3 linked regions of the Lonchura striata genome follow. The protein of the gene in region 1 purifies or fractionates together with the protein of each later gene. This does not show direct contact. Links are inferred from orthologs where the notes say so. Each region holds a gene or a part of one and is shown on either strand. Other genes may lie near its edges.

Region 1 (8,058 bases):
GACAGAACAAGACAGAATGGCTTCAAACTGAAAGAGAGGAAGTTTAGACTGGATATTAGGAAGAAATTCTTTACTGTGAGGATAGTGACCCACTGGCAGAGGTTTTCCAGAGAAACTGTGGATGCCTCATCCCTGGGAGTGTTCAAAGCCAGGTTGGACTGAGTTCTGAGCAGCCTGGTCTCCTGGAATGTGTCCCTGCCCATGGCTGGGGGGATTGAAATTAGGTGATCTTCAAGGTCCCTTCCAACCCAAACCATTCACAGACTCAATTACATTTCTGTGAATACACTTTTTGCAAATGACCAGAAGGAAATGGAGTGGAGGAAGTAACATGTACATTTGTTCTAGGACACTGTCATTAAGAGAGAAATCTTGAAGGAAGGCTTGAATTAATTAATTTAAAAAATTAATTCCTCCTGGATCCAAGGAGCAGGTGTATTCCATGCTGTTGGGACAGAGCTGTGGTGTGGAAATCAAAACAAGAATAATTTTTTTAGAATTAGCTTCCCTAATTGGTATGTGCTGAGAGATCCAAGTGTGCTTCAGAGATGCTGGATGCAGATGGTCATCCCATATCTGTGAAAATCTAAATCCCCATGCTGCTCTTTCCTGCCATTTCTTGCATCAGAGGAGATACTTTTTTCTTTTTTAATAATTAAATTCTTGCTGGAAAAGGGTGCTATCCTTTGTACTGGCTTCTGCCATGATACTGTTGCAGATTGAAGCATGATCACAAAATACTCAGATCCTTGTATTTATAACTTGTGTAATAGTTTAAACAGATGTCTCTTTTCTAATGGAACACACTAAAATTTTCATCATGAAATACAAATATTCTTTTGGACCAAAAACTCCACACAGTACTTTGAAATAGTTACATGGAGAGTAAAGGAGCTGAAGTGTCTCGTTTTGCATTTGTATTCTGGAGCAGGACAGTGGCTTTTCATTTCTGGTGTCTGAAACCCTAAAGTCTATGAAACATACCTAAGAGATGCAAATAATAGAAAGCTTAAATCCACTCTCAGATCTGGTAACATTTTAATGGTCCACAAATTTAAAGGCTAAAAACTAGTAAAGTCAAACTTAAATTTAGTTTGAACTGAGATCTGAAAATATTTTTTAGTAATGGGAAGGGAGATCTAGAGAGCAACTAATCAAGCATCCTGCTCAAAGTGAGTATTTTTAAAAATCTTTCAAAGATAGGGATTTCACAGCCTTTCTGGGTATCCTGTTCCTGGACTGAATTCTCACTGTGGAGAATTTTTCCCATGTTCTACTGGGATTTCCCTTGCTCTGGCATGTGGCTGTGATCTCCTGACTTGCGCACTTTCCGTAAAAAGAGTCTGGATTCCTTGTGTTTGTAACTCCACTTTAAAGGGTAGAAGACCAAAGTTGTTTACTCCTCTAGTGGAACAAATCCAGTTCCTTTGGTGCCCCCATGTCAGATCCATTGAGCTCTGAAATGTATTTATGAATGTTTAGAATAATCTACAAGTTGCCAGTATTCTGAGTAACTTAAAGGCTAGCATAGACTAAAGAGTGCTCATTTTGCTTGTTTCAAAGTACTTTTTCCTGTGTGATTTTGAGCTGCACGATTTTATTTAGAGTAATTCTTGATGTCATTGGGGGCAGGTTATTAATTTTGGAGGAATGAGTACAATATCTGAAGTTTGGACAGATAGCTGTGTTTGCATTTTGCTTCCCTATCTGTCCCCTACTTGTTGCATCCAGTGCTTCTCAGGTAATAATAAACTTGTTTACTTGCCTGCCTTCTGTTGGCAATATCTGGCCCTGCTGTGTTTAATGAGTAATAAGTTTGTCACAAAACCTGAAGCACAAGTATCATACGCATCAGGAATGACTTTCTTTTAATAATCACTTTTCCAGGAGATGATTCAGTTTATTGTTGCAGGGAGTTGTGTAAAATGTAACTTAACAGAATATTAATAGAATGCTCTGTGAGATAACTGAGGATCTTTGGCTGTGGGGTGGTGGAATGCAACACTTGCTGAATCACCTCCATTAAACCCAAAGGCTCAATGATTGCACTTTAGTCTAAGCTTAGCAGAGAAAAAGGTCATCTTGATTCTCTACTGCAAAAAATGTTTACTCTAAATATATATAAAATGCTAAGCACGTTGTAGTGTATGTTGATGGAAGAGTGCCTGAGAACATGCATCACTCCTTGCTTTTTGAAGTGTTGTACTTTTCTAGGAAAAGCTATTGTATTGTGTTCCCAAGCAGCCACCCTACCCTCTCTACCTATTTTTCCCCTTTCCAAAACTAACAAAAAAACCACCAAACAATCAAACAAACATAAAACTAAGAAAAAAAAAACCTAATTAGTTTTCTTTTTCCCCACAAGGCTTTTAAAGAGGTATTTGGTATAGGTAATGTGCAATAAGAGGCTTTCAAGTTTGTTGAAATACGTCAGATGGCTTAATTATTTACCCATGTGTCTGACTGTGACATCTAAACCAGTCCTTGTGCCTCACCTGGCATGCCTTGCATGGTGACTTGAGATACATTCAGTTGTAGAGTTATTCAAAGACAAAAAACCTATTTTTTTTTGTTTTGGTCCTTTTTTTTTGTTGTTGTTGATTTTGGGTTTTTTTTGGTTGTGTTGGTTTTTTCTGTTTGTTTGTTTTTGTTTGGTTTTTGTTTTTTGTTTTTGTTTTTTTGGTGGAGAACATTAATAACATTTGTTTTTTCCTGACCTCCTCATGGATAGTGGTGCCATCCTCAGGGTACTGGAGCTGATGAAGCTGCTTTGTGTCAGAAGTGAATCCTGCCTGTAGTGTCTTAGATTTGTGAATGGTAAGTGTTACTCGAGGAACTGGCCAGAATGGCTGTTGTTTACTTAATAATGGCATTTCAGTTGTTGAATATCTCACTAAGCTAAACTGACTTCAGTGGATTAAAATATTTGCAGGCTCCAAGGAGACTGGAATATAAAAATAATAGACACCTGTTTTGTTTCTGTGTTTGGTACAGATCTAGTGAAGAGCTGACAGACTGCATCTAAATAATGTATTTTATCATTGAATCTTGCTTTTAAAATCTTTTTTCAGAGGAAGAGGGAGTGTTGGGACAGAAGTTCACTTTAGGAAGTAGTTAATTTCTGTTTAGTGAGTAGTGTTTAAGATATGAGGACATTATACCAGGATGGAACAAATTTACTAGCCTATTTCACTACTTATTGTAATCCTTGTATTAAATGTGGTTGTGCTTCCTTCTGAGGTGTTTGTGGAGTTTTCCTCAAGTCTCAGACCTTGAGATCTGTTTCCCTCAGTCTTCAGTTCTTTAAGAGACACAACTTCACAGACCAGCAGCCAATCTTGAGGACTTTCTGAGCAGTTTCATTTTAAATTGTGTGGGTGTGAAGAAATGTGATCAATGAGATCTCATGCAGATCCATAGTCTACTGTGCCTGGACTATTTCTGTTACCCAAGCTAATAATCTCAAATCAATACTGTTATTTTTTCACTACATTACAGCCTGCTGAAGACCATGAGTGCAGTTTTCTTTAACCTGCTGGACCCCAGAGTCTCCTTTTTTTGTAAATAATTTATAAGCAGTTTTTCAGGAAGGCTGTACTTACTTCTTATGCTTGTGTGAACTCTTCCCCTAAAACAAGCTTCACTCTTGCTGCTGGTAACTTCTGTGAACGTTTCTAAATGCTGTGGAGACAATATCTCCTCTGCTAAGCACACGCACATTAGTGGATTTTCTTTGTAGAAAAACATGACTCAAATCTCAGCTGATTCCTGTTCATAAAATTCCATAGTAGCAGCTCTGTGTTCTCCCTGCTTCTACAGCATGCAGGCGTTTATTTGCTAAATCAATTTTTCAGTTTTGGCACAGCAGAATGTCTCTAGCTGACTGTAACACAGATGTTGCTGTGATGCTGCTCAGGTCCTTCCCTCCAAAGGATTTGGGGTTCCCCTGTGCTGTGTGCCCTTCCAAAGGAGGCAGAGGGACAAAGTAAGCACAGACAGCTTTTGTTGGGCATTCCAGATTCTCTGGCAGAATTTGGAATTGCCCATGCTCATCCTGGATACCTGCAGCCTCTGAGACTGCAAGGGGAATACAGCTTTGCTTATAGTGACTCTTTAAATGTGTGCTGAATCCAGTGAGCTCATTGGGCTCACTCATAGTAACTCCTGAAAATACTCCTATATTTTTTTTTTTTTGTTCCATCATTTCCTTCTAAGAAATGACCCACCCCCTAATCTGGGAGTGAAAGCACCTTTTGAGTTTATCAGTGGTTTTTTTGCAGTGAAGTTTGTACGATGCCTGGTTTTTCCTGGAGGAGGCTGTGAAGCATCTGGTGGGGGCAGATGAAGTGTGTGGGGCGAGGTCAGAATCCCCTGCTTTGACTGCTCTGGAGTTCCAGTCCAAGAACTGCTGGACACAAACAGCTGCTGAGATGTCTCATTTTCCTGTTTCCCACAAAGGAAAAAACAGCAGCTGGGTTTAAAATGCCTGAGCTGATTTAAATGAGTTTCTGGTTATTTCTACACATATCTTCAGTTTCATCACCAGAGTGCAGAGTGAGGAGGGAGGAAGGACTCCCAACTGTCCATTTTAGTCAAAAAGACTATTTCTTACATTTCTGTTAATGCTTCTACTCTGTCCTCACCCTAAAGGAGAAAAATGTATCAATACTCTAAGGTGGCACAATAGAAATGCCATGGGGCTGAGAGCTTTGGGGACAGGGAGGTTGCTGGTACTTCAACAAACCCATGCTTGACTCTTCCTCATCTTGCTTTATGGTCATATGAGGCAAAAAAAGGTAAGAACATTTAGCATCTATACCTTTACCAGTTGTGTAATAGCAAAGCAGTGGGTGAATGTTTAGTTATCCTGTGGTTTCTCATGTTAGGATCTTATTAGCACATGCAAAAGTACATTGTAATATCAGTTCAGGGGGCTGAAAGCTGCTGTTTTGGATACAGAATTGTTCTGAATTGCAAACTAGGTCTGTCTTCAGAGCTGGAATGAACTGCAGATGAAACTCCTAGTGAAGAATAAAGAAAAAATGTTTTTAATGCTACAGTACAATAATGCTTCTAGGACAGGGGTCTGTCTCAGGAGGATAATATTGGAAGGTTTTTTGGTTTTTTTTCTCTCTTAAATAATTTGTATATGCCTAAATCTGGCAAAGAGTAATTACTGTGGGCAATTGAGAAAGGGCAGGGGTAGTTGGGATGAGGATGAAGAGTTGCTAGGACTTATGAAACTTCTGGACCTTATGAAATCACTCGAGTTTTGTTGTCAGCTTTGGAAATACCTGCGTTTTATGACTTCTACTTTTATAATGGCTCTGTTCAGAGCTGCCATGCCCAGGAACCTCTCAGAGATGAATCTGCACCTTGCTGACATCCACTGCATAGAGGGATGTGCAGTGGAGTTCTGGAATTGGAATGTGTAGGGGGGGGATATGCATGTGTGTGTGTCTATTTTCAAAATATCTGCTGCTGCGTGTTTGTGATGGAAAAGGGAAGCACCCTGAAGTACAAGGCTGAAAACTGTAGTGCAGTTAACAACAGGAGATGGTGAGTTGTTGTAAAGAGAATTGATTTCTCCTCTATAGCTGTGGACCTTGGGGTAATTTTATCTCCGATAGAGTGCAGATTTACCCCGGTTGTAACTCCTGGTAAGATCCAAGTTGTCACCTTCATCTTTGTTTCAAGCAGACCTCAAATAGTTTTGTTCTTAAAATTATTATTTTTTAAGGGAGTCTGAACTCAGCGTGTGTTTTAGCTTTTATTTTTAAGGATATTCTAGAAAGCTTTCTTTTTCTTAAAGGTTGTAAATTTGTGCATTGACTATTTAAGTGCATTTTATATGTAATCTGTTTTCACAAGATGTTATCTGGTTTACTGGTTCCTTTTTTCTTTTATAGAAAAGACTTAATGCAGAGCTTTTTTATTTTTTAATTATTTTTTTTTATTCTTTATTGTCTTAGGATGAATATTTAAACAGCGTTCTTCAATCTTGCTTCAAAATGTCCCTGTGCACATCTTCTCACAAGGACTTTTCTCAGTTGCTTCCACTTCAGGATATTGGATGCAATAAGACAGAAATTAAAAACTCACCTGCTGGTGTCATCTCTCCAGTCCCTTACAACTGCAACCAGTCCACGCTGACAGCAGAGCACAGCCCACTCTACATTCCCTCATCCTTCATGGAAAACAGGCACGAATATTCCACCGTGGCGTTCTGCAGCCCCGCTATGGTCAATTACAACATTGGCAGCAATTTTGGGGACGCGGAGGGCGTGACGGCGAGGCAAACCTCCAGCCCCAGCGCCCTGTGGGCTGCTCCTGGCCACCTGTCCCCCCTGAGCCTGCACTGCCAGTCCTCCCTGCTGTACCCAGAGCAGCCCAAGAGCCTCTGGTGCGAGGCTCGCCCCATGGAGCCAGTGCTGCCCGGGAGCAGGTCAGTGCTGCTTCTTGCTTTCAGACTTGCCCGGGTATTATTTACAGCTTCCTTAGCTCAACTCTTTTCTTTTTGCATTCAAATTAAAGTGTTGGTCCCTCTGAAAAACAAAACGACGCAAAAAGTAACTCCGCTAGACACTAAATCACTCAGGGAGTGTGTGTGTTTGTTTTTAATGTAACTTCTAAAATTAGGGGTTTTTTTCCAATACCTCCTTAGAGTACTATACACCAACACAGAGCATTACAAATATCTTCAGTGTGGGAGCAGTTTACATTGTGCAAATAAAAGTCCAAGACAGCTAAGTACTATTTTGTGTAACAAAATTAATTCTGCTCTGTCAGATTAAGTCATTTGAGTGAAAGAGGGAAATACTAATTCTTTTTGCCTTTTCATATAATATTGAGTTAATTTTTACCCAGATTTTTTTTTTTTTTTTACTGCTTCTAAGAGATGTGAAGGCTTTTTGTTAACTTGAAATCCAAGGGAAATGTTTTCTTTGATTTTTGGCTTTAGTATAAGCAGTCACACAGCAGCATGCAGGACATTAAAAGGGGGCTGCTGCTGAAAAAGCCTGACTTTGTTTCTTGCTGCTGCTCCCAACTAACTCCATAAAATTATTGTGAAGAGCAGAGTCACAGGCTAAATTTGCAGCTGACAAGAAAGTCTGTTTGCAAAAGCACATTCTTGTTCTGCACGTTTACTCATATTGCAAACCCAAATCAGCATCTGGATCATCAGCTGATGAAATTGCTCCATTCTTGGGCACAACACTAGCTGGGTGGATAAAAGCTCGGAGTCTGCAGGTGCTGTTCCTGCTTCAGCAGCTGTATGTTTATTCATAGGCCTCCTTATTTAACTTCAGCAGTCATTTGGAGTATGAAAAATAGTGTGTCCTGTAACAGTTTAAGTTCAATAGTTAATAAAGGATTTGTGCTATTTTTGAGACTACCCACACTCCTTCTGCAATGGGTGGGCTTTATGGAGTGCAAATGTGCTTTCAGTGTAGGTGTGTGGATTGGGAAAGACTCTTTGGGTAGCACTTACATACAGAAGAATTCCCCGAGCAGCTTTGATGTGAACAGGGGTAATCCAAACTCTTTTCACTTTGGTTAAGGTTCCAAAACTTAGACAGCCCTGGGAAGGTTAGGGTTTGAAGCTGTCCAGATGTTGGAATAGCAGCTGGAATAACCCAGGAGCAAGAGCACCCTGTCTGATGCTCTGCAGTGCCCACTCTACAACAGACAGAAGGGAAGCCAAACCTGTCCCACTGGAGTTTAAATAAATAATCATCAGCTATTTGTATGGATATATAAGGACTATTTCTCATGCAGCTGATGATGACCTAACTTAAAGAGAATAAAGAAATTCTGGAGTATAATCTCTTTTTCACAGAATGGTTTGAATTGAAAGGTGTCTTAAAAACCATCTAGTTCCAACCCCTCTGCCATGGACAGGGACATTTTCCCCTGGACCACGTTGCTCAGAGTAGAAGGATGACGAGGAGAAAATCAGTGATTTATTACTTTAAGTGAAACCTTAATTCCTTTTTAGAAAGCTAGTATTTGTATATAGAAACCACCATCATAAAATAGAGAGGAATACTAGGAGGT
Region 2 (8,042 bases), on another chromosome or scaffold:
AACTTTTGTTTTCCTGTGAGGATTTCAGCAGGATTTAATTTCTTATCAGCTCTCACAGGTTCTTGCACAGAGCGCACAAAACGTGCTCAGGCCGTGAGTTCGTCTTCTCAGAAGTATTTGTGATTCATCCCTGATAATTCCATGTGCTCGGGGAAAACAATCCCAAAAAATAGTTCGTAAAGCTCAGGTTGGCAGCCTGGGATGGTTTCCCATCAGGTTCATTACTTCCATTTTAATTACCTACTATTAATGCAGCAAGAAGCAGTTGCTGGGCCTGGATTCTGTCCCAAAGCAGCGCTGCGCGTTGTGCTTGGAGGCACCTGGAAAAGTCAAAATATTGCCTTGGTGTCGCTGTCGAGGCAGGATGGGAATGAGAAGACTCTGACCAGAAGGCTGTGAGAGTAAAACTCCGATTTATTCAAAATACACTGCTCTTTATACAGAGCTTTGTGAGGACCAACTCCATTGGTTCTGAAATGAAAACAACCCAAAGCATTGGTGCAAAGTGCTTGACGCACAGTGATAGAAATTCACTATAAACAATGTGAAAAACAAGAGAAATAAAGAATTATTTGCATTCTTTCCCAGCACTTTCCCAGGTTTCTGCCTGGCTAGAAACTCTGTTTCTTCCTTTGAATCTGAGTCCCACACCTTGGAAATGAAGAGGGATGGAGAAAGGAAAAAAATCCTATGGTAACATTTTGTGTTATGGGAATTATGAGTTTTTTTGTTTTTTTTTTATGAGAGGAGGAGGACAAGGAGGAGAAGGAGGAGAAGGAGAAAGGAGGAGGAGAAAGGAGGAGGAGAAGGAGAAGGAGAAGGAGAAGGAGAAGGAGAAAAAAGAGAGATGGAGGAATAGGAAAGGAGAAGGAGAGGGAGAAGGAGAGAAGGAGGAGGAGGAGAAGGAGAAGGAGAAAAGAAGGAGAAGGAAAAGGAGGAGGAGAAGAGAAGGAGAAAAAGGAGAGAAGGAGAAAAAGGAGAGAAGGAGGAGGAGGAGGAAATGGAGAAGGAAAAGGAGAGAAGGAGGAGGAGGAGGAAATTGAGAAGGAGAGGGAGAAGGAGAAGGAGAGAAGGAGAAGGAGAAAAAGGAGAAAAGGAGGAGAAGGAGAAGAAGAAGGAGAGGAGAAGGAGAAGGAGAAAAAGGAGAGGAGGAGGAGGAGAAGGGGAAAGAGAAGGAGAGAAGGAGGAGGAGGAGAAGGAGAAGGAGAGGAGGAGGAGAAGGAGGAGAAGAAGGAGAAGGAGGAGGAGGAGAAGGAGGAGGAGAAGGAGGAGGAGGAGGAGAAGGAGAAAGAAAAGGAGAGAAGGAGAAGAAGGAGGAGAAGAAGAGGAGAAGGAGGAGATCCAATGCTAAGCATTGCCATCAACGTCACGCACTCATAAAAGCTAAAACACACCGCATGTAACACTTGCTACGGTTTTACCACCAAAATTTTCCTTTTTTGGCTGAAATTTGTCAGAATCGGTAAAAACGAGGTGGTGGGAAGGAGCCACTGCTGCATTTATGAGCTCGGCCTGGAGCGACTCCAACCTTTCCAGAACTTTCCAAGGGAAATGTGTCCCTGCTGGGGTGGCAGAAGCGTGACCCCACAGCTGAGGAAGCCAGAGGAGCTGTGGCCACCTCGGGGGATCTCCGGCGGGATTTTTTGGAACTTCAGCTCCTTTTCGGTGCGAGGGGAAAGCCAGCTGTGAAACCACGCCGGGGGATTTTGGCCACAGGGTCGCTCAAGGTCTCGGCATCTGGTTTGGGGACTTCCAGTTCTCAGATGTTTTTGAGAATCAGCTTTTTCCCAAAGAGAATGAGCAGATTTTGGTCCCGAGCTTTTATTTGAGCCAATTCAATTATTCGAGGACGGAAGAGCACTGAGCCAAACGTGAGGTTGTGAAAATTGCGATTCAATTATTCGAGGATGGAAGAGCACTGAGCCAAACGTGAGGTTGTGAAAATTGCAATTCAATTATTCGAGGACGGAAGAGCACTGAGCCAAACGTGAGGTTGTGAAAATTACGATTAAATTATTCGAGGATGGAAGAGCACTGAGCTAAACGTGAGGTTGTGAAAATTGCGATTAAATTATTCGAGGACGGAAGAGCACTGAGCCAAACGTGAGGTTGTGAAAATTGCGATTCAATTATTTGAGGATGGAAGAGCACTGAGCCAAACGTGAGGTTGTGAAAATTGCGATTAAATTATTCGAGGACGGAAGAGCACTGAGCCAAACGTGAGGTTGTGAAAATTCCAGCTGGAGGTTTGGACACGTCCCCTTTTCCCTGTAAATAACATTCCCAGAGGGATTCTCCTGAAAAAAAAAAAAAACAAAAGTGAATTTGGACCTTTTTGCATTCTCTGAGGGGCGAGAAGGAAGAGGGAAGATTTTCCACCCTCACTTTCTAGGAATAAATAAATGTCCATCACGTGGGATTTGGTTCCTTTTCCGCTTTCTAGAATTAATTCCAGTCAGCTGGGGAAACCCTTTTAAATTTTATTTTTCCTTTTGAAAGTTTACTTTCACGGTGAAAGTTTATCTTTCCTTTTTAAAGCTTATCTTTAAAGTCAGCAATAATCAAATTCCACTTGGCTCTGCTGTGAGTTATGATAGGCTGGGGGTCTTGAATCCGTGCTAAATCACTGGGAAAACTTGGAAATAAAATCCAAATATTCCCCTTGGAATTAAAGCTGCGCTGTTCTCCTCGACCTCTACAAGCGCTTGAAGTTGTTCCGGAGGGAGAAAAACTGCAGGAAAAACTTGTTTGTGGGATTTGCTTTGAGATTTGGTTTGGGAGCAGTTCCTGTGCCGGCAGCTGGCTGAGATGAGGAAAATCCAAGTGGAAAATGCAGAGTTGGGAGCGTGGCAAAAAGAGCTTTGAGCTTCTGGAGGTGGGAGGAAATTTGGGGAAGAATCCCTGGCGGGGGTTTGATTTTCCCTCGTTGTCCTGGGGGGATAAATCCTGGGGTAAATGGCCTGCTCCTGCTGCCCAGCCGTGGAAAAGCCAATCCCGGAGGTTCCCGGGTTAAAAAAAAGGTTGGGGGTCTAAAATTGGGGGTTTTGGTGGTTCTGTTGTGCCCCAGGTTTTTGGGGGGGTTGTAAAGTGTTGAGGAAGGAGAGAGTAATCTCAGCGGAGAGGCTAATGAAATGGGAAATATAATAATAATAAATAAAAATAATAAGTATTAAATGATAAATATTAAATAATATATAATAAATAATAAATAAAATTAAATCATAAAAAGTAAAATATAAAATAATATAAAGTAATAAAATTATTCTATTCTATTCTATTCTATTCTATTCTATTCTAATAATATAATATCGTATCATATTATATAATATCACATTATATTATATAATATAATATTATATCATATTATGTTATATTATATTACATTACATTACATTGTATTACATATTATATTATATTATATTATATTATATTATATTATATTAATTATATCACATCACATTATATTATATCACATCACATCACATCACATTATATCATATCACATTATATTATGTATTATATCATATTATGTTATATTATATTATATTACATTGCATTACATTACATTACATTATATCACATTTTATCACATTACATAATATATTGCAATATGTAATATATCTAACGTTATACATAGTATATAATATATAACACATTTAATAAATAATACTATGTAATAAAATATAACTTATACTAAACAATATCATAAACACAACATTTAATATATTGCAATATAGAAAACGTTATATATTATAATAATGCATGTAATAAGTGCTATATATAATATTTAATATAATATATAATACATCTCATTTGAACACCATCAAATCTCCTAGAATTTTAACATTTTAACCTCAAAAAACCCTTTAAAAGATCACTGACACTCTTAAAAAAAAAATACCAAACACAACATTATACTCCAAAAAACCTTTTTATTCTACTCAAAAAAACCCTTATTATTATACTCCAAAAAAAACCTGTTTTTCCTCACACAAAACAACACCTCACCTTGGTTTTGTAATCTCAGCCACCTGCAGGAAGAGGAATAATTCCAAAATAAATTTATCAGAATATACCCATTTCTAACCCCAAAATGAGACCACTAAAAAGCATTTTAAGAACTTTTATTCCATTTTCAATCTCACATAAAAATTAATACAACTCTGTTAATTCGGTGTGAATTTGATGTGGATTCCGTGTGAATTTGATGGAAATTCAGTGTGAATTCGATGGAAATTCAGTGTGAATTTGATGTGAATTCCGTGTGAATTCAATGGAAATTCCGTGAGAATCTGATGGAAATTCAGTGCAAAAATCAATGGAAATTCGGTGTGAATTTGAAGGAAATTCCATATGAATTCAATGGAAATTCCGTGTGAATTTGATGTAAATTCCGTGTGAATTCCATGGAAATTCCATGTGAATTCCATGGAAATTCGGTGTAAATTCGATGTGAATTCCATGTGAATTCAATGGAAATTCCTTGTAAACCCCACACGAGTCCCTGTTTCTCAGCCAGGAGCGCAGATAGTTTATATTTATTCATTTATTCATTTATTCATTAATTTCTCTCTCCGCCCGCCAGCGCAACCTCGCTCCCCTCACAAAATAACGACGCGGCTCCTTTAAGACGCGCCCTCGCTCTGGCCCCGCCCTTTCAGCGCGCGGGTGGGGGCGTGGCTTGGCTTGAGTTTGATTGACAGCGGGGCTATCCAATCAGGTGCCAGAGATCGGGGTGGGGCGGGGCTTCCGGCGGGGCAGCTGAGGCGGCGGCGCTCGGAGGGAGCGGGGCCGCCATGATCAAGAAGTTCGATAAAAAGGACGAGGAGTCCGGTACGGGGGGGCTGGGGGTGAGGAGAGCGGTGCTGGGGCGAGGAGAGGGCTGAGGTGTGCTGGGGTGACAGCGGGGGAAGAGGTGAGGGGGATGCCGAGGTGACAGCGGGGTGGAGATGAGAGAGGTGAGGGAGATGCTGAGCTGAGGGGAGGCTGAGCTGGGGGCAGGGAGATGCTGAGGGGTGAGGGAGATATTGAGGTGAGGGAATTGCTAAGGGAATGGCTGAGGTGAGGGAGATGCTGAGGGGTTTGAGGGAGATGCTGAGGTGAGGGGAGGCTGAGCTGGGGTGAGGGAGAGGCTGAGGGGTGAGGGAGATGCTGAGGGGTGAGGCAATGGCTGAGGTGAGGGAGAGGCTGAGTTGAGGGGAGGGGGATGCTGAGGGCAGGGAGATGCTGGGGGAGGGAATTGCTGAGGGGTGAGGGAGAGGCTGAGGGGTGAGGGAATTGCTAAGGGGATGCTGAGGTGAGGGAATTGCTAAGGGGGTGCTGAGGTGAGGGAATTGCTAAGGGGATGCTGAGGTGAGGGAATTGCTAAGGGGATGCTGAGGGGTAAGGGAATGGCTGAGGTGAGGGAAATGCTGAGGTGTGAGGGAGATGCTGAGGGGATGCTGAGGTGAGGGAGAGGCTGAGGGGTGAGTGAGATGCTGAGGGAGAGGCTGAGGGGAAGGAATGGCTGAGGGGTGAGGGAATGGCTGAAGTGGAGAGGGATGCTGAGGTGAAATAGAATTCCCAGAGCAGCTGTGGCTGCCCCTGGATCCCTGGAAGTGGCCAAGAGCAGGCTGGAGCGGGCTGGGATAGTGGAAGGTGTCCCTGCTGATGACAGGAGGTGGAAGTGAATGATCCTTAAATCTCCTTCCGAGCCATCCCGTGGGTCTGTGATCTCTCACAGCTCGTGGGGTATTTGTGTTTCAGCTGTAAGAACTGACTGCCGAAATATTTCTCCCCTCTGGTGACAAATCCAGAGGAATTGGGGTCTGTTTGCTCTCCCTTTATCCACAGATGATTTTTAGAGAGGATTTTATCCCTGTCTCTGCTCAGTGCAGATGTTTCATCCCTCAAAAAAAGGAGAGTTGATTACATGTGTTTATATACATATACTAAACCTATATAACATAATAACACACATACCCTATGTATTTATATAATAAACCCTAAATAATAACCCTAACCCTGAACGGTGAGCTGATGTATGGAAAGAAAAGAAACCTCTCTTTTTAGTCATTTTGCTGCACAAAGCAAAATCCAAAATGTTTCAGAGGAGCCTTTCCAAACTTTCTCTGTCTGAGCTGTGCCTGCGTATCTGGAATTCACACCAGGGACTTACATTGATATTATAAGTTGTGAGTTTTATGATATTTTATTAATAAGTTATAAAATGATTAATTGTTTTTTTTTTAGGTAAGGTTTTTTTAAGGTTAAATTATTTAATTAAGAAATTATATTTAAATTATTTTTACTTTTAATTTAATAGCTAATTATTTGGAGTTTGTAATGTGGACTTTTTTGTTTGGTTACAAAACATTATTTAAGTGAACTGGAAATGAGGAATTCCTGTTTGGGAGGAGAGGATCGGGAGCAGAAGTGAGGCTGTGGGTGGGACTAATGTGGCTGAAAAGTTTTTTTTCACATCCTGATCTGCATCTCTGCTTTTGGTGCCTGAAGGAATAAAAACAGGTACATTAGGAAAGTAGAAAAAGGAATTAGTTCTATGTAAAGGCCATTTAGGTATTAAAAATATTAAGTATATAAAAGGCATTTTAAATAACAGTTTTCTTCTTCCTCTCCTTTTTTTTTTTATTTTTTACCTTCTTTCTATAACTCTGAATATATCACTTAAGAAAGTGGATTTAAAGCTGTTGATGGCCAACATCAATTATTCAGAGAGGAACATCACTGGTTTGAGGTGGTTTGGTAAAATTTTGGGGGTGTTCCTGCCTGTCCAGACCAGTTGGGATGTGTGAGGAATTAATTTTTTTTCCTCAACTGAGAGGTCTCTTTTTTTTCCTCAGGGAGTGGCTCCAATCCTTTCCAGCATCTGGAGAAGAGTGCTGTGCTTCAGGAGGTAGGAGTAATCACAGGATAATGCCATTTCATTAATGATCTTTTCCTTCAGGAAGCGTTGCAGAATGATTGTGGGGAAATGTGGATGGCTAAATTCATAGAATTAAATAAAAATCACAGAGAGTGTAAATAAATTAATTTTATCTGCAGTTAATGAGGGTTTTTTTTAGGATAATTAGATGACACGTGGCTTCTGCCTTCCATATGGACATGTGGCATCTCAGGGGGCTCTTCCTGGACAAAAAATGTTTTATTTTCAGGCATTTTTGCCTGTTCCAGATGGCAAATTGAGTTGTTTGTGCTTTGTTCAGATTGCTGCAAACGAAAGATGCAAGAACACATTCTCTGGGACACATATTTAATAGAAATAAAAATTACAAGCTGCTCAGCTGGAAACATTCATTTAATTCTGCACATTCTCTGAGACTCATATTTAATACAAATACATATTACAAGCTGCTCATCTGGAAACAGATTCATTTAATTTTGATGTTGAAAGAGAAATAATAATAAAATTGTTATTATTATTGGGATCTATTCAAGCAGAATTTGTTTCATTTCCAGGCACGGCTCTTCAATGAAACCCCAATAAACCCACGAAGATGCCTCCACATCCTTACCAAGATCCTCTACCTGCTGAACCAGGTAACTGTTAGGATTTCTCTCCATCCAGAATGAATTTTAATAATGTTTTAGTGGGAAATATATAATCTTTTTAGAGGGAAAGAAGTTTTCCACAAGGAAAACACCTTGGGAAGCTTCCATCCCTGTGGAGGGCATTTAGAGTGGAGAGAATTGTGAATTCCCTGGGAATGCAAGGATGGTTTCTTACAGGAGAAAGTCTCCAAGGAGAGATTCCTGCTGTGTGGGAGGGCATTAGCAAAAGGAGCTGGATAATTCCTGCTTTTCCTCTCTGCCAATTCCAGGGTGAACACTTCGGAACCACGGAAGCCACGGAAGCTTTTTTTGCCATGACCAGGTTGTTTCAGTCTAACGACGTAAGGACCTGGTGCTTTGCCTCTCCCTGCTTCTGCCTGGGCTTGCAGGAGCTGCCAAACCTTTGGAATTTGGGATGTGGGAGGCAAGCAGTGCACAGGAGGAGCTCTGGAGGCAGTTCCAGCTTTGGAAACAGAGGAGTGGATAATAAC
Region 3 (8,128 bases), on another chromosome or scaffold:
CAGGGAAGTCAAGCTTCCTGTACTTTTGTATTGGGAGGAAAGGTGGACTGGAGTCAGGAGATTTAAACTGAAGCCCGAAAGTTGTTCATTTTACAACAAGACACAGTAATAGAGACGGAAGATGACACCCCATGACATGGCACATATAGTGTTGCACCATTTTCATGATTCTTCCATGCCCTAAACTAGCAGACTTCAACCACCTCCTTTTCAAAACCCATGTAGTACACAAACAAATTTGTACCAAGAAGTTGGGGTACAAGTTGGGGTAGGACTTCACTAAGGACTTCACTACGTGGAATGAGCTGTATAACCACATCACTATGCACTAAAGCTGCCCAGTGTCCAATACTCCAGCTTCTGGCACAGCTGATGCTCCTGAACCCAGCAGACATGCAAGCAGTCCTCTGTTTACTTGTTGCACAAGAAAAATAATTTTTTACATAGCAATTATACAGAATATAAATGCTCAGAGCCATCCCAATTTCTAAAGAATTGCTTTTTCCTCAATAAGCAAGTTTTGGATTTCTAGAGTACTGTTTCACAAATATGTGTTTTAATTGATTTATTTAAAACAACACTGATATAATCTTAGATTTTAGTTAGCCTACAATCTAATTATATAAACCAGTATCAGATGGATGTCTCAGAAGCATTTTGCAAAGCACATCAGAAAGCATCACAAGATGTCAACAAATATGCATAAGTGATTTTATGTTATTTTTTATACCTGATTTCACAAAGTATTTCGTCAGAAGATTTTTTTTTCAAAATTAAGTCCCTTGGCAAGTAACCATAGAACAGTATCTCACCTGCTCAGAAAATCTGCTTTCTTTAAAGAAGATTTTAACCATGTTTAAAAAAATCTACATATTAAATTTTGCTATACAGCGGGGAAGAAAAAATAGCTCTTAAATGCATCAATGCTGTATATAACAGGGAACAGAATTCAGATCTAGTTGTTTTTAGGCTCAAGTTTTCAGGTACTAAGAGGCTTTTCAGTTGTATCTTAGTTAACAACTGCAAAAAAGGCTTCTCTTACAGTAAAAGTATGTATTTCTGAAAGTCTGTCACCAAAGTACCATAATCTCTTTCTGATATTGGTACATATAACATCCACGGTGATTTAGATAAAGTACTCAAACCAGTCAAATTAAATAGGAACTCTGAACTCTTCTGCTGAGACTAGCTATTCAATCACATCAGAGTGAATGATAGAATAGCTATCTAACTAAGCTAGATCATTTTTTCTTTATAAATAGTACTACATCTCTGTTGTTTGCTTTCTGGAAGAATAGGAAACTACATTTGTTGCTCAGGGAACTGCAATTACAAAGTTCCTCTTCCATTTTGCCTTTCAGTGCAAGAAACTTTAAAGTTAAGAAATAAAACATTTTCTCCCACAAAGACAAACAAGAAGTAATGACCTAAACAACTGCAAGACATTTGGAGGATAAGCATCATAAAACAGTCAGGACAGGTAAGCGTTTAATGTAAGAAATTGTTATAGCAGGTCAGAACATGGATACATCAACTTATACACTGCCCATATGAGAGGCACAAGGACAAGACAAACAGGTAGTGATAATTTTCCCAGGGCATTTGCCTGGTTTCCAGCAATCTGTACTTCAGGCATGCCACTATCTTCTTTTTTAAGTGCTCAGTGAATGTTCTTCCAAGTTTCTCAACTTGATTTTTGTATTCACATAAATGCTTACCATCCTGAACATTCTCAGCAAACAGTTCCACAAGTTAACTACACCAAACGGACAAAAGAGTCTCTAAGGTTTCTGGGCTCTGTCTCCCATTAGTTCTCTTCACATTCTTTGGTTCACAGACAGCTAGACAATTTGTGTATAGCCACAGGCTTAGGTACTGATCCCCTCTCTAGGGCTGAGAGGAATAGATAAATGATCCCTCAAGGCCCCTTCCAGTCCCACCTTTCTCTGTGACTCCTCCTTTGAGAACATTCTCTCATTTACAATACAAATCTTAAAACTTAAGGACGTGCCTCGCCAGGAAAACCAAGTTACTATCATAATCATACTTTTGACACAAGACAACCAAAGCAACACAGACTATTCCAACTGAGAATGAAAACAAGTATTAGAATATTTTCAGCTTTATTCTCTTTGTTATTCCTTGCACACCTTAAGAGCATGTATTCCTGATTGCTGCATAAAGAACTACCCACATGGGCACCAGGTCTTTATCCCTAATGGGTAAAGTTAATCTAAATGTAACCAATATAAATAGCTCAAATTGCTCCTTCCGGTATTACATTTCATTTTCTTACTGTGTCTTTCTTCTGTTACCCCATGGCTTGGTTTAGTTCAGTCACCAACAGTTCTTCAGCCCATATTATCCTAAATTACTTTGTAACTTGAAAGCATTACCAGCAGGCCTTTTTATCCACTTGCTGGTCACTGATTAAATATATATACAGGTGTATCAAATACCATTGTACAAACAATACTGACAGCAGCTAAGCTTTTTAATTAAATGGCAATCAGCTGAACGCCCCTACCCCCCAAAACAAAATGATTCTGTTTAATCAGAAGTTACCTCACTTGTGGAGCACGTTTCTCTCTCCACTGCAGGTATTCAGAGACTTGTCCTGTGCAACCCGGTCTAGGGGAACATGCCCCTGCCCATGGCACTAGGGGTGTTCTTCAAGGCCCTTTCCAACCCTAATCTTTCTGTGATTTTGTGCCTCGTGATCTACTCACCTGCTGACCGAATATAATTTACAGAATCCCAGCATTATCAGGGTTGGAAGAGATCTCTGGAGGTGATCCAGTCCAACCCCCCTGCAAGGCAAGGTCACCAGGAGCAGGTAACACAGGAATGCTTCCAGGGGGGTCTGGAAGGTCCCCGGGGAGGGGACCCCAGTCCCTACCAACATCAACGTAAAGTTCTTCTTCACGTTGAGGTGGAACTTCTCGTGTTTCAGCTTACTATTCAAAATTATCAACCTAAAACCTGCCATCTTTTACGCTGGCTTTGCTCTGTATGTCACTCTATTAATTCCAGGCTTAACCAAGCGTCTTCCTCTTCACATCAAGGGAAACAAACACAGCTCACGGAAACTTGAACGCGGCGCCAGCCCTCCCCATTCCCCACGCAGGGCTGCCTCAGCCCCGCCGGCCCAGGGGCAGGGGCAGCGCCGCACCGGGGCCGTGTCGCCGCTTGGGGCCGTGCCCGGCGGGGCCATGCCCGCCCCTCACCGCCCGCCCGGCTCTCACCTGCGCGCGCGGCCCCGCGCCCCCGCGGCGGCACAGCCGCAGCACGCGCCCCGCGGCCGCCGCCATCACCGCGGCGCTCCCCGCCCATTGGCGGGCGGGGCCGGGGGCGGGGCCGCGGCTGCGCGCTGCCGCCCCGGCGGAGCCTGCGGCCGCCGTCCGGGGCCGGCGCCGGCTTTGGCTCGGCGGCGCCTCGGCGTTCCTGAAATCCTGCCCCGACGGGAGGCCGGTGGCTTTTATACCTGGGGTTACATTCACGGTGGCCACCAGGTCAGCAGGAGACCCCCGGCGCGGCCTCCTGTCTCGGAAGGACAGCGCTGAAAGCGGGACTCCGAGTACGGAGCGCTGGGACTTGCAGTGCGTCTGGGGCAGCAGCGCTGCTCTGGAGATTTGTACCAAAAAACAGATTTCACCTTGTTTGGATTTTTCCCATGGGGAAAAAGAAATCAAGGAATTGCAGAATCAATTATGTTGGAAAAGACCTCTGAGGCCAGCGGGTCCAACCCGTGGCAGTCACCGCCTTGTCAGCTAAACCATGGCACAACGCCACGTCCAGTCTCCTTAAACACCTCCAGAGACGGCGACTCCGACACCACCGCGGACAGCCCATTCCAATGTCTAATCACCTGTTCTGTGAAGAAACTAATGTCCTCTTGTCCTGTCGCTGGTTGCTTGGGAGAAGAGACTGACCCCCACCTAGCTACAGCCTCCTTTCAGGCGGTTGTAGAGAGTGAGAGGGTTCCCCCTGAGCAGCCTCTCCTCCAGGCTGAACAGCCCCAGCCCCCGCAGGTGCCTCTCATAGGATTTGTGCTCCAGACTTTTCACCAGCTCTGTTGCCTTTCTCTGGATGACATATTTTAGACACAGAGAAGTTATCTCTTACTGAGGGGGGGTTGATGTCAATCCTGTCATCTCCCAAGGTGATGACAATGTCTCTGGATACTGAACCTTGGAATTTGAGAATGTTGCTAGTTGCTCTGAGTTACATGGGATATACATTTATAGGTAACTGGATTTTGTCAGTAGTTTTTTCTACATGGGAGTAGTGGAAATTAATTAAAAAACTGAATTTAAGAAGCTTTTCTTTAGACTTACAGGGACCTTCTTTTTAAGAGGAGTTACTATTTCAGAGGAAATTCTGGAAATAAATCTCTGCTTTTCCAGGTTTATTTTTTTGTTAAGTTTTTCATGGGTCGCCATTGCTTCCCCCATGCAGATGAAAGTATGATTTCCTCTCTGGGTTATAAAAGAGGTTATAAGAAAACTGGCCTTGGCAAAGGAAGTCATCCATGTGGGGAGGTGAAGGAGGAGCTGCCTGGAAAGGTGCATTCATTCTTGCAGTTGCCAGCTGTGAAAGTGAAAAAATCAGCAGTTTTACTGACATGGATACATTGCAAATGATTGCCATGAGCACTGCACTGAAGGAGAGCAGTGAAGTGTCTCTCCTGTGCACACCTGGCCAAGCGCTGGGAACTGCAGCCACGCTTTGCATCACAGGGTATGTTGGGATGGCATTTAGTTGCTAACTGTTTCTCAGAAGAGAAAAAGGGGAGTTGGTTCAGGGTCACAGTCCCACTGACCCACCTCCTGGAGCAGCCAGCAGAGCTGAAGGGGTGGAGAATGCCAGTGATGAGTATGGCCTCTTCACGGCCTATGGTGAATCCCATCTGCCATCTGTCGCCCTGCAGCTTGGCTTTGTTCAGCAGCAGAGGAGCCCTTCAGTCCTCACTGTGCTCAGCAATTGTTACTTCTCACCCCTGGCAGCTCTACAGAAACAAAGCACCACTGGAGTGAATGGGTTTTATTCCCCACATATAATTAATCACCAATTAAGCTAGAGGAGCAGGCCACCTATAAAATATTGCCCACTTATTCTTGGTAACTAGTTGATGTAAATACAACTTCCTTGATTTCCTACATTTTTCTAATCCTATGCTCACCATGGAAAAAAATCCTAAATGCATTTGCAATCTGGAGCATGATTTCAAAGACATTGGGGTTCATACATGGTTTCAACTGGAGGTTACAGAATTGCTCTTGCACATTGCTAAATAGAGACTGTGGTGTATATGAAGTCCAGCAATTAAGGGCTATGTTATGTTTCTCTTTGATCATTAGAGCTGTCAGCCCTTAGAAACTGATGGCTGCCCCTTCAAGGTGGAAGATTTTTGCACAAATTTCAGGTGTATTTCCCAACAATCCTGCTTCTGCCAAAGAGTTTGCTTGTGCTTGCTTGCCCCTAGGAGACACTTGTACAGAGATCCCTGAGTGACCATTTTCTAGACTGATCAGGAGTGCATGTAGTTATTATTTGGGATTTTTGAAGGAAATGTACTTCTGTGGTAGGCATGGCTAGCATGTTCCAGAAAGATTCCTACTAATGGAAAGATTCTGCTTCTGCTTGGGTGGCTGGGGTCTGCATTTGCCAGTTCAAAATCAGTTTTTAGCACAAATGAAAGTAAGATAAAAATGAGCGGAGTTTATTTACATGCTCAACCACCTGCACCCCATCCCTCTGTGAAAATTTGTTACGGCAGGGGTGAAGGGAAATGCAAGAAAACCATGTTTAATCTATTTATCCCAAGATTAACTCCAAAGGGCTTCTCTTTCTGTCTCTGTGTTTACTTGACAGACTGTAGATGCTTACCTAATCCATGCAAACTACCCCAATGCTTCACTAAGCCCTCTGAGGAACTTTAGTCACTTGGTGGCAGGGATGTCCTTCTTGAGCCCAGCTGGGCAATGTTCTACTCTGGGGACCTGTTTCAATTGTGAGCCTGATTACCCTTGTCCTTGTGTAACCTGCTATTCATGCTCTGTTCAATCACAGAACTGGGGACTGCTGCCTGCAGCACATTACCTGCTTTTGTTTTTAGACTTAGATAATGAGGGGTAAGCATATCATTTGGGACTATTCAAAGCTTTGGGGTGCCGTCTTTGAGGATGGCCTGACATAAAGAAAAGGTTGCCTCTGTGTGGGGCTTGAGGTTTCTGAAGTGAAAAATTACTGAAAGCAGAATAAGGAAACCAGGCTGAGCCTGTCAAGTGCATGGGTTGGGGACAGATGGAGGGGTATATCTGTAGTATATGCAAATTCTTGAGCACAAGCCTAGGGTTGAGCTCTAACCCAAAGTTGCTGATTGCTTATGTTACCAGCCTACATGCAGACAATCCTGAAATGAGATCTGGGGTGGTTTTTTGTAATCAGAGATGGGATTGGTAGATAGCATGAGTTCAGGCTATTAGTATGGGTAGTGTGAAAACCAGTTGCTTGAGGAACAGGTATCCCAGTGGCAGTGCTGGAGATGTATGGCTCTCCAGCTCACTGCCTCATTGAAGCAGTCTGAAAATTGACAAGGATCTGGGGCAGCCTAAAGGTCCATTGAGCCTGATGGCTTCACTCTGTCAGTGACAGGTGCTTACAGAATCACAGAATATGTTGAGTTGGAAGGGACACATCAGAATCATCAAGTCCAACCCTGGTCCTCCAGAGGACCATTGCCAAGAGTCACACCAAGTGCCTGAGAGCATTGTCCAAATGCTTTTTGAACTGTCAGGCTTGGTGCTGTGACCACTTCCCTGGGGAGCCTGTTCCAGTGCCCAGCAGCCCTAAGGGGAAGAACCTCTTCCTAATAATCAACCTAACATTCCTCTGGCGCAGCTTCCCTCCAATCTTGTCACTGGTCACCAGAGAGAAGAGATCAGTGCCTGCCCCTCCTCGTCCTCTCACAAGGAAGTTGTAGAATGTGTATAAAGACAGGGTAGATATACAGAGCAAAAGTCTCATTGGTAATGAGATGAAGAGTGTATTTTAGGCTTAGATAGGAAAAAACCCACAGAGGAGAAGAGGTCAGAACTTAATGAAGCAAGATCTGCTGCCTTACAACAGAACAAGATAACCTGCAGCAGACATGAGGGACTCCATCCATCAGAAGCAAAAGCAAATAGTTGTAGGAGGGTTAAAGTTTTGCAGGATGCCCTAATCCAAATCCATTTCCACAGAGATGCCTAAATTTTTATGTTTTCCCTAAACAAAATAAAAGAGTAGATTTGTTTCGGAATTCTGAACTAAAGTTATTCTTCTTGTAAAGTGTTTTCTGTTCTCTTTCCCCTGTGCCTTTCTTCTTTATGCTGTAAGTACTTTGGCTGAAGTTCTGGGGCACATGTGCTAAAAGGGACAGCAAGCAACAGGGGCTGACTAAGTGACAAAAATCTCAGGATGTTACAGTATCCACATGCATAGGACACTTCTCAGAGCCTAACTAGGAGCACTTGCTGGATTATCTTCGTGCCAAGGGAAGTTTACGAACACCCACATCCAGTGTTGAACAAAAAATTGGAGATTTTGTCTAAGGAGAGCACTAGACAAGAGTGCCTTGACAGAAAGCTTTGTGTTTCAGAAGCTGATCAGTATGTGTTTGAACAAAAAAAAACCAAACAAAATGAATTCAAAAATGCAGACAATTCAGGTGTATTTTAACTCTGTTCCAGTTAAGTAATTTCCAGATACTTTATGACATGTATGTGCTTTTTGACACAGAAATTGTTTTGCATTGATCTTCCTCATCACTATTGAAAGGCTTGAGGCTGATATATCCAGAAGTCATGTTTCTTTAATGCAAACATATAAATTCTATTTTAAAAGACTAATAACAACAGCTATTTCATTGCACCTACTTTTCTTCCGATGTGGAACGAGCACATTTCATTTCATAGACTGCATACACCAGCTACCTAAGGGTTGTCAATTACGTTACGCTATAAAAGGCACAGCACTTAGGGGGCTGTCAGTCAATTCTGTAGTGAGAGAGATTTCAAGCACCTTTATTCCAACACTATCAAATATAAAAATAAAGCAAATTTACCTGACAACACCAAATACAGAG

Evidence for each region. The genes of interacting proteins can lie anywhere in the genome.
Region 2: the proteins of ESR2 (region 1) and COPG2 purify together in Homo sapiens (affinity purification with mass spectrometry; 3 studies listed by BioGRID and IntAct, with this or other methods). This does not show direct contact. The link is inferred for Lonchura striata from reciprocal best matches to the Homo sapiens genes ESR2 and COPG2.
Region 3: the proteins of ESR2 (region 1) and MRPS9 purify together in Homo sapiens (affinity purification with mass spectrometry; 3 studies listed by BioGRID and IntAct, with this or other methods). This does not show direct contact. The link is inferred for Lonchura striata from reciprocal best matches to the Homo sapiens genes ESR2 and MRPS9.

The regions. Positions count from the first base shown.
Region 1 is NC_134608.1:7,192,291-7,200,348, reverse strand, and holds the start of ESR2 (estrogen receptor beta), read left to right. Parts: upstream 1-4,442; 5' UTR 4,443-4,781; coding exon 4,782-4,796; intron 4,797-5,972; coding exon 5,973-6,445; intron 6,446-8,058.
Region 2 is NC_134607.1:71,935,318-71,943,359, forward strand, and holds the start of COPG2 (coatomer subunit gamma-2), read left to right. Parts: upstream 1-4,722; 5' UTR 4,723-4,796; coding exon 4,797-4,833; intron 4,834-6,842; coding exon 6,843-6,895; intron 6,896-7,458; coding exon 7,459-7,539; intron 7,540-7,820; coding exon 7,821-7,892; intron 7,893-8,042. UniProt on the Homo sapiens protein: The coatomer is a cytosolic protein complex that binds to dilysine motifs and reversibly associates with Golgi non-clathrin-coated vesicles, which further mediate biosynthetic protein transport from the ER, via the Golgi up to the trans Golgi network.
Region 3 is NC_134604.1:89,078,092-89,086,219, reverse strand, and holds the start of MRPS9 (small ribosomal subunit protein uS9m), read right to left. Parts: upstream 3,321-8,128; 5' UTR 3,312-3,320; coding exon 3,246-3,311; intron 1-3,245.